Linked DNA regions of Rhinolophus ferrumequinum. The protein of the gene in region 1 purifies or fractionates together with the protein of each later gene. This does not show direct contact. Links are inferred from orthologs where the notes say so. Each region holds a gene or a part of one and is shown in the gene's direction. Other genes may lie near its edges.

Evidence for each region.
Region 2: the proteins of VBP1 (region 1) and PFDN1 purify together in Homo sapiens (affinity purification with mass spectrometry; 4 studies listed by BioGRID and IntAct, counting the BioPlex papers as one, with this or other methods). This does not show direct contact. The link is inferred for Rhinolophus ferrumequinum from reciprocal best matches to the Homo sapiens genes VBP1 and PFDN1.

The regions. Positions count from the first base shown.
Region 1 is NC_046284.1:5,461,373-5,468,306, reverse strand, and holds the start of VBP1 (prefoldin subunit 3), read left to right. Parts: upstream 1-3,929; 5' UTR 3,930-3,945; coding exon 3,946-4,038; intron 4,039-6,934. Other genes in the region: phosphatidylinositol-binding clathrin assembly protein-like, read left to right, coding at 3,686-3,875. UniProt on the Homo sapiens protein: Binds specifically to cytosolic chaperonin (c-CPN) and transfers target proteins to it. Binds to nascent polypeptide chain and promotes folding in an environment in which there are many competing pathways for nonnative proteins.
Region 2 is NC_046307.1:14,945,946-14,953,964, reverse strand, and holds the start of PFDN1 (prefoldin subunit 1), read left to right. Parts: upstream 1-5,016; 5' UTR 5,017-5,131; coding exon 5,132-5,164; intron 5,165-7,603; coding exon 7,604-7,770; intron 7,771-8,019. UniProt on the Homo sapiens protein: Binds specifically to cytosolic chaperonin (c-CPN) and transfers target proteins to it. Binds to nascent polypeptide chain and promotes folding in an environment in which there are many competing pathways for nonnative proteins.

The DNA.
Region 1 (6,934 bases):
AATGATAAAGATTTCCACCCAGTAGATGTTTAGATGATAGAAGTTTGGCATTAAAGGCAGAGAAAACAGCTTGAGCATAGAAATGGAAACAGGCAGTGGTAACGTGGATGAGTATAGCTGAAGCATATGGGAGAGTGCCATGATCCACGTGTTCATTACCTCAAGAGTATTGTTTTCTAAAAATCTTTGTAAGATTTCTTCCTTCAGTCTTCAGCCAGTGTATTGGGGCCCCTGGTTCCTGAATGTTTGTCTTAGGAGGCCGGACCTCCTAATAAGTAGACTGACCAAGCCTTTTGTGTATAATAATATTTGTAATTTATTTTATAGCCACAAAGAAATATATGGAGAAATGATGTAAAATTTATATGTCTATCTTTTACCCAGACACAATCTGTGTAGAAGTACCGAAGCAAAAAGATTGAAATTTAGAGGTGAAAAAACCAAGATCTTTCCCAGCCTGAACTGAATCACCCACATCTTCCAAGTAAAATAAACATTCAGTGAAACATCAATACTTTTGAGATTCTTCAATTCAGTGTTTTGGAGGTGATGCACTGTATTTCTCTTGTTTTAATAGTTATCCTTCAAAATGATCAAAAACTAAAGTTAATATCTTAATCTCCCCTCCCAAATAACACAAGGACCTTAGAACACTTTTAAAGTACAAGGGCATTCCTACCCAACTTATATACTATGGTGGTCCAGCATTTTAGCTCTGCCCCATTCTATTAGCCTCTGAAATTAAAAGTATTAGTATTTATAGAAATAGTTTTTGTTTAGATTTAGTTAGCCATGTGTTTAGGTTTTTTGTTTGTTTGTTTACCATCCCTTCTTGCCTTGGAATCCTTTCCCTCTTCCTGAAGTACACCTTTTAGAATTTCATTTAGTGTAGTTATGCTGGTGATAAACTCAGTTTTTGTTTACCTGAAAATATATTGCTTCATACTCATTTTTAAACTAAATTTTAAATTGATGTACAAATACAAGGTCTATTAACATTCTTGTACAAGTCTTTTGTAGATGATTGTCGCTACATCTCTCAGGTAAATATCTAGGAGTAGAATGGGTGGGTCATACAGTATGTGTTTGTCTAAAATTAAAACTTCCAAAAATTTTCCAAAAATGACTGTACCACTTTATTCCACCAGCAATGTGTGAGAATTCTAGGTGCTCAAAATTCTGGCCAACAATTACTGCTGTCAATATTGTAAATTTTGGCCATTGTAGTGGCTTTGTAGTAATGTCACATGTGGTTTAATTACATTTCTCTGATGAGTAAGCAACTTTTCACATACTTATTGGCCATTACAATATTTTTTTTTTTGTGAAATATCCAACTGTTTTGTCCATTTTAATGTTTTTCTTTTTTTGATTGATTTATAGTTCTTTATACATTCTGAATATTAATTCTGTTAGATATATTACACAAATAATTTCTCCTAGTCTGTGGCTTGCCTTTTCATGTTCTTAATGGTATCATTTGCTGAGCAGGTGTTTTCTAATTTTGAACTCCAATTTATCAAGTTTTTCTTTTATGATTAGTGCTTTTTGTGTCTTCAGAAATATTTGATTATCCCAATGTCATGAAGATATCCTCCATTTCTCTTCTCGAAGCTCTGTAATTTCAGTTTTTGTTTAGATCTGTGATCCTCCTAAAAATACATTTTTATGTTTGGTGACAGGTAAGGGTAGAGATTTACTTTTTCCATATAGTTACCTAGTTGTTCCTGCAACATTTGTGAAAAATAAATTCCTTTTCCCTTGGGTTGCCTTGGTACGTTTCTTAAAATTCAATTGATAACATGGGGATGTAAAGTACAACATAAGGGAATATAGTAAATAATATAATAACTATGTACAGTGACATGATACTAGATAATACTAGATTTGTTTATAACACTAGATAATACTGGACTTATTATGGTGATCACTTCATAAGTTATATAAGCATTGAATCACTAAGTTGTATACCTGAAATCAATATAATATTATATATCAACTATAATTAAAAATAAAATTAAAAAAGGCATCAGTGAATTGGGGGTGTTTGGGACAGTTAGCTGAATAATAAAACTTGCATCTGGAGATAAAAAGTAAAATGAATATGAATAATGAGAAGATTTTTTTTAAGCAGCTGCAAAAATAAAATGTGTGGATAATAGGGTCTTCTTTGTGAGGAATCATATCATCAAAAGCATGACTTTGATCTCACTAAATAAGAATCCCAACATATGGCATTAATTCACAAGTTAAAATTTCAATAAAAGATTTGTTTCCCCCTAGACACAACACACACACACACACACACACACACACACACACAATTGACAACCTATTTATGGGTCTATTTTTTACTTTATTTTGTTCCTTTGATCCAAATGTCTGTCTTTAGTCCAATAACACACTGTCTTGATTATCATAGTTTTCTCTGGGCCTCAAAGTAAGGTAGTATTAGTCTTCCATATTTATTCATATTTTTCAAGATTGTTTCAGGTATTCAGGTTCTCTTTGAATTCCAGGAAAATATTACAATCAGCTGATCAATTTCTATGGAAAAAAGTCCTCTAGAACACTGACTGGGACTACATTGAATCTACAGTTAAATTTGGAGAAAATATACATACAGATATCTTAACAATATCAGCACTTCCAAACCATGAACACAGCATAACCACAGCATAACCACTTATTTATTCATTCAGGCATTCTTTAATTTCTCTCCATTTATTTGGAGTTTTTAACAGTTACTAGTGTATTTCATTATATAATTACTGGTAAAGACTAACTGGAACTTTAAGGGAACATAATTAGTCAATAGAGTCTATGGGAAGAACTAAGGTTTTTGGGAGGAGTTCTTACACTCTAACAGCGAGAGGCCTACAGGAAGAACTCTATGTTTATATGGTAGTAACTTCCCCTTCCCTTAACTCCCCTTTCTCTTCCATAAATACCCTTCCATCTTTACAGGCAGGCCAGAGTGTACATGTGGCTTGCCATGTCTGCATGCACTGGGTTACAACCTTTTGTTTTCCCCCAAATATATTCCTTTTGGTGCCGAAACACCTAGTCAATATTATTTTTCAGTTGACACTACTAATAGTTTTGTTTTTTAATATTTTCCCCTGCTTCTGAGTTGTCTGTTATGGCGCATGTCTCCTGTGAGAGTAGTGCTCTTTATGCACTCCTGTTCTCAGGACTTCCAGAACCCAGGGGACCCCAAGGCTTTCATAAGTCAGGCAGCCAAAGAATTGCACTCCTCTAACTCAAACATGTACTTCATCCATGTTCAATAGGAAGCAGTTACAGAAGTATGACCCATTGTCCCCATCCTCCCAAGAATGAGGAGTGAGAAACCTCAGGGAGCAATAGGACAAGTCTCTCAAGGTCTGGCTGGTTCTTACTAAATGCTATTCTTGCTAAATGTTGAAATATAGCACAGTATTTTGCAGATGCAGCCATAAACAGGATGAGCTTGACAGGTACTCAACTGGATAGGTGTAGCCAACTGCAAAGAAGAAATCAACGTGCAATTAACCAAATAGTGTATAAAAGCAATGAATGGCCAAGCCTCCCTTGAGGAGACAGAGCTTTGGCTATGTGAGTCCCATCTCCTTTAATGACTGCAAGTAAATTACCCACCCACAAAATCCCCGGGACCCCTTTTTCCAGGCGTCCCTTTTTCCAGGAGTCCGTATTGGTCCTTCCTGCACAACCAGCTTCTCCTCCGCAGCCCTTCCAAACTTGTCACTCACCTGCGTGCAGCCAATCAGCACCCACAGGATGGGCGACAGCGCGAGGGAGGAGAAGGAGCGTCTACTTCCTGTTTGCCTACGAATGCGCAGACTCGCAAAGGAGGGGCGGGCCTGCGGGTGTGAGCGAGCCAATCACGGACCCGCGGCAGCTGGCGGCTGGAAAGGCGGTTAGTCGTGCGCTTGCTTCCCCAAGATGGCGGCCGCTAAAGATGCTTGTGGCTCAGGAGAAGTGGTTGCAGGAAACGGTCGGCGGTACCACCTAGGGATTCCTGAAGCCGTGTTTGTGGTAAGAGATACGCTGTTCCTAGGCATCTTGACGCTAGGCCGCGACCCCTTCCTTCCCAGTCCCCACCCTGGCCTCCACTGTTGGGGGAAGGAGTTGAGCTGAAGGTTCGGCGAGAGAGCGCTCCGTCCCCTCTCGCGCTTCGTGCGTGGACAGACTGTGCTGTGTGCTGTGCTGGGACCTGCCCCAGGGGAAACGCAGTCCGAGAAGGCCCCAAAACAGAAGAGGGCCTGGGGAGGGAGGACTCGGGAGCGGGGCGGTCTGAGGGAGCGCCCCCTAACTGCTTACTAGACACCAGGATTCATCCCCTGCTGCCTGGAAAAGGGGAGGCAGTGAGAAGCTTGAGACTCAGCCTAGGTGTGCTGGTGATTCTGTGCTTGCCTCCACTCCGGAGATGAGGTCTTGTACCTGTGTCTGTGCCCTGGATGGCTGAGAATAGGAAATAAAGCCTAGTCTGTTGAAGGAATGCGGTGGTCTCTTGCCTTGGAGGAATGATTTTACCCACTCAGTTCTGGCTGAGCTACTATAAAATCTTAATGGAATTTTCCCGACCTTTTGGTTTGTACTTATATTGCCTTATCTCTGCCTTTGTCTTAGTCATATCTCCTTCAAAAGACCCATTTCTTTTACTTAAACTACTTTTATATACACTGTATATTGCATATTTGTATTTGCTGATTCAGTTTTGTAGTTATTTTCTTCAGTCATTTCGTATTTCCTCCCTGAGCTGTGCCATTTATTTCTTTACATTTCTCTCTCAACTAATGGAAATGAGATAAAATTTGTTGAGTGCCAGGCATTTTCCTAATGCTTTTACAAAACTCTAGGAGGTAGGTAATGTTATCCCATTTTGTAGATGATGAAGCTGAGGCACAGAGCCCTCGAATAACTTCCTCCGATCCACACAGGGTGTAAGTGAGTTATCCAGGATTTGAACTTGGGCAATCTGTGGGGCTGGAGAGCCCCTCTGTGTACACATCCTGCTCTGCTACTGGGAGGAAAGGCAGGTCACCATGTTGCTCAGTGTCATTTTCTCCTGGTCCTAGCACAGTGCCTGACACATAGTATAAACCCATAACTAGATGTCAAATTGTATTTCCATAGTGCCTTAAATACTTCATCCTGGTGCTCAGCTAGAGTTGGCTTCAAAAATCTAATTCAGGATGACAAACTTTATCTGAAGGCTTTAGAAAAAAAGTCTTATCTTAAAGTGCCCTTTTCCCCTAAAATTCTATGGGTTATTTTTTTTTTTAGACCTTAAAATTTCTGCCAACATGATATGATAAGCCATCCAAATTTTACGTAATTATTTTTATGTTCCCAAACTAATGGGACTATCATGGTGTTATAGAAAGAATAATTGCTGCTTAGTCTTGAGCATATTGTTTTACTACTTTGAGCCTCAGTTCCTTAACAGAAGTAGCGATGACAATACTTACAAAGTTGCTATGAGAAACAGAGAATGTGCTTTCAGTATTGCAAGTTGATGCTTAATATACAGTGGTCCCTCGGTATCCATGGCGGATTGGTTCCAGGACCCTCCTACCCTCATTCAAAATCTGCAGATGCTGAAGTCCCATATATAAAATGTCGTAGTATTTGTATTAACCTACACACATGCACATCTTCCCATATACTAAAATCATCGCCAGATTACATATAATACCTAATAAGATATAAATGCTATGTAAATAGTTGTTATACTACATTGTTTAGGGAGTAAGTAGTACATGTCAGCAACAAGTTAACATTTTTTTCAAATATCTTTGAACTGCAGTTGGTTGAAACCACGGACTCCGAACCCGCCAATGTAGAGGGCCGACTGTATATTGTCTTCTGTGATGAAAGGCAGTATACCATACTGGTTAGGAGTCAGACCTCTCCCTTTTCGCATTCCCAGTGGTGTAGTAATTTGTTTTCTTTTCCTGCTTGAATTATTCCTTTCCCCGTTCTCCATTTGCTGACCTCTTCATCTCTCAACACCTAATTTCAGATATAATCTCCCTGTAGTTCTTCCTGATAGTACCCCAAATGGAATTCTTGGCACTTTCACGTTTCCTTAGTACGTTGTATTGTAGACATAGCTAATGTTTATTATCAGTTACAAGCTGTTGTGTACTCTTCTAAGCATTTTACACATTCTAAGCATTTTAATGCTAACTCATTTAATCCCCTGTGAGGAAAATACACTTTTTATTTTTTTAATTTTACAGATGAGGAAATTGAGACAGAGGTTAAATAACTTCCCTCAACTCAACACATTGAGTATGTGGTGAAGCCACGATTCAAACCAGGCAGCCCTGGCTCTTAACCTCCAACCTATGCTACTATAGTTAATTCTCCTTGCTACACTCTAAGCTCCTAGTAGTATGTCCCCCTGTGCTAGAAACTGGCACTTATTTTCCTTTCTTGCAGTTTTACTACCTCCAGGAAGATGGTATCTCCATTTTACATGCAAAGTTCAGCCATTGCCGCTCCCTCACCTTTTGAATTTCTTTTACTGTCTCTAGTTTGATGGCTTCATAGTTCACGCTCTTGCTGTGTTTCTCTTCCTTTTTCTTCTTCTTTTGGCTAAAATAGTCCTTTACAGTTAGTAAGCATGAATAAGAATAATGATGTAGAGATGCCAGAAACCGTAAGATAATTGACTTTAACTTACAATGAAGGTCTCAAGTTCTTCAAAGAACTGGAAGTCTCGTATAGACTCTCCTTAAAGTTTCCATCTATTTTCATCTAGTTCCTTATCTAATTAACTAGCTTTTCTTCAAGGATCAGCATGTACTATACAGGTTAAAAATGCTACTGGGTTTTACTTATTTTCTTTTGCTTATTGTTCCTGTTACAAAAGATTGCTCTGTTTACCTTTTAGTTATACTTTATTTCAACCACTTGATACTTA
Region 2 (8,019 bases), on another chromosome or scaffold:
CCAATTCATTCCTTCATCAAGTTCAGTAACTTCTACCTGAATCCATCTACTTCTTTTTATCTTTACTGCTGTCATCTTCACCTAGATCACCATCATCTTTCTCTTGCACTACTGCAATACTCTCCTAAGTGGTCTCTTTGCTTCTACTCTTGCTCCCTCCAATCCATTCTCCATGTGGAACACACAATGATGCCTTTAAAATGAGATCATGTGGGGAGGCTGGATGGCTCAGTAGGTTAGAGCGTAAGCTCTGAACCGCAGGGTTGCCGGTTTGATTCCCACATGGGCCAGTGAGCTGTGCCCTCCACAACTAGAGTGAAGGACAATGACTTGGAGCTGATGGGCCCTGGAGAAACACATAGTTCCCCAATATTCCCCAATAAAAATTTAAAAAATAAAACAAAATGAGATCATATCAATCTCTTCAGATTATATCAATCCCCTGCTTGAAATCATTCAATGGCTTCCAATCACACTCAAAATAACATTCTAACCCCTGACTGTAGCTTGCAAGGACTGTAGCTTAGAAGGCCTTTCACGGTCTGGCCCCCTGTCCAACTCTCTGATGTCACCTTCCACCAATCTTCCTATCCAGCTTCTTCCTGCCAAGCCTCTTCCCATCCTATACCCTTTGCTCTTGCTATTCCTTCTGTTTGGAATGCTCTTTCCCCAGCTCTTTGCATAGCTGGCTCATTCTCATTTTTCAAGTCCCATCTCAGATGAGTGTCCTTCCAGAGAGTTTCCCACACCTTGGTGGACTCCACCCAATCTCTAACCACATTGTTGTTTTCTTCCTTGATAACTCTGATCAATATCTGAAATTGTTTGTTTGCAGGTTTATTGTTTGTCTGTCCCCCACTGGAATATGTACTCCATGAGGTGAGAGAGTTTGTCGCCTGTTACTGTTACATCCCAAGGGCCTGGATCAATGTCTAATGGATGTTCAATAAATATTTGTTAAATGACTAAATAAGTGTATTGCGCATGGAGAAACAGAACTGAGGGATAATAGATCACCTTTCTAAATTCCACAACTGTGGACTGATTGAACCTCAGAAGTAGTACATCCCTGTGCTAGTGAATCCTTCAGTGGGAAGTCTGTTTTTACTATGAAAACGATAGACACCAGCACATCCTGGTTATTCTCTAAGCAAATGTCGAAGTACTGCAAACTCTTCAGTGCTTTCATAGAAGGTCTCTTTCTGCTGGTTTTTTTTTTTTTTTTTTTTTTTTTTTTAGATTTTTATTGGGGAAGAGGAACAGGACTTTATTGGGGAACAGTGTGTACTTCCAGGCCTGTTTTCCAAGTCAAGTTGTTGTCCTTTCAATCTTAGTTGTGGAGGGTGCCGTTCAGCTTCAAGTTGTTGTCCTTTCAGTCTTGGTTGTGGAGGGTGCCATTTAGCTTCAAGTTGTCCTTTTCAGTCTTAGCTGTGGAGGGCGCAGCTCAGCTCCAGGTCCAGTTGCCGTTACTAGTTGCAGGGGACGGAGCCCACCATCCCTCGCGGGACTCGAGGAACTGAACTGGCAACCTTGTGGTTGAGAGCCCACTGGCCCATGTGGGAATTGAACCGGCAGCCTTCAGATTTAGGAGCATGGAGCTCCAACTGCCTGAGCCACCGGGCCGGCCCCCTTTCTGCTGTTTTAAAAGCTCCAGAGAGAAAGGAAATAATTTTATTTTGAAGACCCAAATGAAAAGGAGATATGGAAAAATATTACAGTGGCTTCCAGTCTGTAAATGTATATCACATTCTGCCAACTTTATGCTCAGGGAAAGTTTTATTTTTCCCTAAATTTGGTACATTCATGTGGTGTCAAGAATTAACATAAAAACTGGTTTGGAACCTGTGAATCTCACAGGGCTTTGGTGGAAATGGATGTGAAGGGATGTTTCCACAGCCCAGGACATGCTAGACACTTTTGATGAGTTCTTAGTCATATGAACTCAGTAATATGAACTTAGTAATATGAGAAAATCAACTTTCATAAGAAAGACCAGCAAATGCCTCCAATGGAAGAATCCACACTAGATGATAAGACACTGTAAAAACATTTAAGAATAATTATGTTCATTATGTTCTAATTATGTTCACTATTAGGCAAGAATATATCATTACATATCATAAAAAAGAAAAGAGCAGGTAGATTTGAAAAAGGTACAAATAAATTTTTTCCATTTTTTAATGTGGTAATATAGACATAACATAAAATTTACCTTCTTCACCATTTTTAAGTGTACAGTTCAGGGGTATGAAATGCATTCATAATGTTGTGCTACCATTACCGCCACCCATCTCTAAAAGTCTTTCATCTTGTGAAACTGAAACTCTATACCTATTAAACAATAACTCCCCATTCCCCCTCTTCTCCCTAGCTCCTGGCACCCACCATTCTACTTTCTGCCTTTATGATTTTGACTACTCTAAATCCTTCATATAAGTGGAATTATAAAATATTTGTCTTCTTGTGACTGGCTTATTTCACTTAGCAAAATGTCCTCAAGGTTAACCTGGGTTATAACATGTGTTTGCTTCCAATTATTTCCACATTTTGCATATTGTGAATATGCTGCTCTGAACATGGATATATAAATATCTATTCAAGTCCCTGTTTTAATTCTTTTGGGTGTATACCCAAAAGTGGCTTTACTGGATCTTATAAGAGACCCCCACAGAGATTCCCTCACCCTTTCCACCAAGTGAGGACATAGTGAGAGGTCTGCAGTTTGCAACCCTGAAGAGGACCCTCACCTAACCGTACTGGTACCCTGATCTCAGATTTCCAGTTCCAGAACTGTGAGAAATACATGTTTGTTGTTTATAAGCCATCCACTCTGTGGTGATTATAGCAGCCTGAAAGACTAAGACATATTGGATTAGGGCCCACCCTAAAGACTTCATTTTAACATTACCTGTGTAAAGACTGGATTTCTGAATAGATGACATTTGGAGGTACTGGATATAGGACTTCAACACATCTTTTTTTGGGGGATACAATTCAACCCTTAACACAAAGACTAACAGAGTTTACTTCTCAAATACTCATCCTGAAAGAATATACTGAAGATTTACTTTATCAAGAAGGAAATTAAACTCAAGAGGAAGGAGTGGTATGCAAAAAGGAACAATGACCAAAAAATTTGAGAGGAGACTTTTGCCTAGGGTCACATTCTTATTAAATAATACAGACAGTACTTGAACCTAGGTTGTCTGATACCTTAGCCCATGCTCTTAACTTTTTACATTACACATGAATTGCTATGAGGAGTGTTTCAAAATCTCATGAGGTAATGTACAGTAAAGTATCTGAGACTTTCTATGAATTTTAATTTTTGGGTCATTATTTATTGATTATCTATAGTGAAGTTCTAAGAAGGCCCCAGAGTAAAATTAGGCCCCCCTTTTCTTTCTCAAATTAGAAAGTGATGACAAATTTTCTTCTGAAGAATTCATTCTCATCAAGTGTTTATTTTGTATTTCTTCCCTATGAGGCACTGTGATAGGTGTTCTGGGTATAAGTGCTGGGAGAACAATTATTCTATCGTTCTTGATTTCAAGGAGCTTACAGTCTAATAAGGAAAAAAAATTGAAGGTAGAAAGTTTCATGTGCCTTAAGAGAAGAACAGATGTGGTCTTGAGGAGAGTTTAAAGGAGATATTATTTTTGGTTGTTGAGTGATGTAAAAAATAAAAAAAAGACATAATGGAGGAGGTGACCTGTTTGCTGGACATTGAAAGACAAACATGACAATGTTAACTACCTCAACTAACAACTATTCATTGAGTACCTACTGTGTGTGTGGTGCTATGTTTGGAGTGTTTCATCCTGATCTTATGTATTCCTCACAATAATCCTATTAGGTCAATATTGTTATTCTCAAATTAAAAGAGGAGACAAACTCTATTGCTACATAGCTAGTAAATGGAACCAAACAGACCTAGGCTCAAGGTAAACCAAACCTTTAATCCAGGTCTGGCCGGTTCCAAATTCCTTCCCTTTCCCTTCCCTCACAAGTTTTTTTTTTTTTTTTTTTTTTTTTTTTTTAAAGTTTTCTTTTTTTTTTTTTTTTAAGGGGAACAGGACTTTATTGGGGAACAGTGTGTACTTCCAGGACTTTTTCCAAGTCAAGTTGTTGTCCTTTCAATCTGAGTTGTGGAGGGCGCAGCTCAGCTCCAGGTCCAGTTGCCATTGCTAGTTGCAAGGGGTGCAGCCCACCATCTCTTGTGGGAGTCAAGGAGTCGAACCGACAACCTTGTGGTTGAGAGCCCACTGGCCCATGTGGGAATCGAACCGGCAGCCTTCGGCGTTAAGAGCATGGAGCTCTAACCGCCTGAGCCACCAGGCCGGCCCCCCTCACAAGTTTTTAGAGTAGATAAAACATCCATTTCTGCCATGTCCTAAAGTCCAATTTCTATCCAATATTCTGGTTCAAATGCTAGATCTTTTACAGCAAATTCTCAAAATTTGGTCTGCAGATGACGTTGCATCAGGTCATAAGGATTGTTTGCAAAAGTGCAAATTTCTGGGCCCCAATCTCAAAAATTCTAAGTAATTAAGTTTGGGACGAGGACCAGACAATCTGTGTTTTTTTGTTTGTTTGTTTTTAAACATACTTTTTTGGCTTCTCTTGGGAACCACTATGTCAAAAATGTCCTCCAAGAGCATTCCTTAGAAATAAGTTCTTTGGAAGACCACTCCAATAATCTTGTTTTTCTCCACACTGGCATGCCTGAGGTGCAGGCTGATTCTCATTCCTGACAGCACAGGGACTAGCTGAAGGACTGAATGACTGAAGAGGTTTTGGTCTGATATTCATACGTCTCAATTTAGCAGCAAAAACTGAGCTATTTGTCAAAATGCTTAAAACCATACACGAAATCTGCATGTTGATGTTGTGGCTGGAAGGACGTGGAGAAGCAGCCCAAACCTGATAGATCACGTGGGGAACACAGGCTGAATCGAATCCAGAATATTCATTTCAAGCGCCACTAGCCCGCGTGAAGGGAAGAAGCCCGGCAAGCCCGATTTATGCGCAGGCGCAGAAGAAAGGGGGACAATTAAACAGCCAAAGCGCGCCCTTCCTCCTCACTTTTTCGGGCCTTCTTCCATCGCGCAGGCGCAGAGAGTGAGCCAAGATGGCGGCGCCCGTGGATTTGGAGTTAAAGAAGGTAAGAGAGCGTCTTGAGCAGGCCGAGGCTTCTCTTTAGTAGCTAAGGGGACTGTGGATAAGAATATCGAGGAGGCTCGAGTCTTGAAGACGGAAAGAGGCCCCAGGGAACTGGGGAATGATTTCCTGAAGTCCCAAGGCGGGATCGGGTCTTCTTAAGTTGGAGTAGGGGGCGAGCGGCTCTTGGTGGGTAACAGCCCGTTGAGCTGTCTTTGATTGTCTGGTGCGCCAATAGCTGGCCTGTTCTCTTCCGAGCTGCAGAGCCGTTACGTTGCGCTTGGGCCTTCAGTTTCGTATTGAGGCCTGAAATAAGCGTTTCAAATTGGAGCCCCTTAGGACGGTTCGCCTGAGCCTAGGCATCTGTAATGGTGCATCCTCATTAGCTTTGAAAAATTCCAAATCCAGCCAGTGCTTTTAGGCCATTTATTCGATCCCATATCTTGAAAGGTCGCAGTACAGTCCAGAGTCAGACATGCTCATAGCATTGTGCATCTCAGGGCTCTGGCTCCCCACCTTTTACCTTTTTTGAAGGACTTGTCGAAAAAGAAACAAGTCCTGCCAAGTTTTACAAATAAAATTGATAATCAGAAGGAATTGGGTTTCTCTATTCAAACAATTGCTTATAAATGTGTTATTATTCAGAAACGTTTTCATCATCTAAGAGTTGTCAGGATTCTAACATCATTACGGACCCCAACAGTTTTTTGGGGTGGGGAGGGGGACCGGTATTGGAAAGGATCCTAGGCTGCATCTAGTTTAAACTATACTTTTCCAGAAAAGGAAACTGAGTTCCAGAAAAAAATTGAATCAAAGGTTGGGACTAGAATCCAGTATTGTCTGCTCCACACCTTTTGACTACTTAGGTTCTTCATAAGAGCAAATTTTACTTCAGATTCCCTTTTGGTCAACCTTTGCATGAGAAATAGGACAGCTGAAATAGCTGTCGATCGTACTACATGAAGCTCTTTGTTATTGCTGTGAGGATTTATGTGTATGTCTTGCTTTTTGTCATTCTTGTTTTGAAACTTGTAAATTTTGCCCTTACGTGGTGTTCTCTAATGCTCAAGTATCTCAGCTTTAACAATATTTCAGCTCCCTTAGCAAACTGTGTACAGAACAATCAGGTAATTTTACATGCAGAACAAAGTTCATTTTAAGAATGCTTAACGCAGTGTAAAAATTTACTTTTTTCTCCTGTTAAAAGTTCAAATTTAAGCCTGGATTTATTGAAAGAGCTAACATAGAGCTATGAATGGACTTAACTTCCCAGTATTATTTGAATTTGTTGCTAAGACACCTGTGGGCAATGAATGAAAACTAAGAAAATGATTACACATTTAAGTTGGATAGTTTTACAACCAATTAACTGAAGAAACTCGTTTAAAGATTTTATCTTCTAATATCTCGATAAGGTTTTATTTTGGCTGGAGACTAGTAGGAAATTTTCAGGCACCTCCCTTCATACAAAATAAATCTTTGGAAACCTTACCAGTAGGTGAGAACAAAGTCAGAATAAAAGTTAAGTAGTACCTTTTGCCATGTATTGCAGTCACAAATGTTATTATTAAGGCATAAATTTAACAGCATGCACTGTTAAATTTCAGGCACTTCAACAAGAGTATCCAAGAACTGTGTTTATCTTTCAGTTACGCGTACACAAGGTTGAACAGTGTACACAAGGTTCAAATTTGGCCTGGTATGTGTATATGAAGATCATGATCCAATTCTACCAATGCTTTGAAATGTTTTCCTTTTTTGTCTTTTTCTTTAAAATATCTCTATTATTTATGTTCTTTATATTACTGTAGACAGTAGAATGGGTAGATTCCTGAACTAGGGGTCACAAGAAATTTAGTACCTGCCTTTCCACCTGATAGTCGGTCAACCCTGTGCAAGCCACTTACAGCTCTTTAACACATTTGGTTACTTAATTTGTAAACTGTAATGATGAAATAGCCATTTCTAACTCATAGGATTATTGAGAGGAATAAATGCGATATTATTATATCCTTCAGTGTTCTCATGTTAATATTTCTATTAATATTTGAAACGTGGGAAAGTGCTTTGAAACCTGGTTGAATAACACAAATGTAGAGAGTTGTTACATTTATGGTTCTTGTTTTGGATTTCTGGGTTTCATCCTCTGTTTATTGCATTCATTGCTTTTATTACTCCTTGGGTCCCTGCTACTTGACATGGTTATTACTTAATGTGCATTTGTTTCTGCTTCAAATAGATTCCATCTTCTGACAGGGTAATTTCAGTATGTAGCCTAGTGGCTTGATCGATTATAATTATACTGACTTTTATTGATGTTTGCTTTGGTAAATTTCATAGCTTTGTCTCTGGTTAGCATGCTTAATTTTAATACATTTGGATTTAACTTAAATGTTTCTTATTAAGTGTTTCACCTACTAAATCAAGGACTTGTTTTTATTAGGCCTTCACAGAGCTTCAAGCTAAAGTTATTGACACTCAACAGAAGGTGAAGCTTGCAGATATACAGATTGAACAGCTAAACAGAACGAAAAAGCATGCACATCTTACAGATACAGAGATTATGACTTTGGTAGACGAGACTAACATGTATGAAGGTGTAGGAAGAATGTAAGTAAAATATATCCTTATGGGAGTTATCTTGGGAGAGGTTTTGTCTGAATTAAATCATAGAATTTGTTTGTTTTAAAACAGGTTAAAGTATCACTGTAGCTTTAAAGATCATCTAGTCAAATACCTTCTTTTTTAAAAAATGAGAAATCGAATCCCAAATAGATGTGTTTAATTTTAGACTTTGAAGTACATTTCTTAAATATTTCCGTGTTCTCTCTACTACTAGGTTCTTAAAAGTGTGTAACT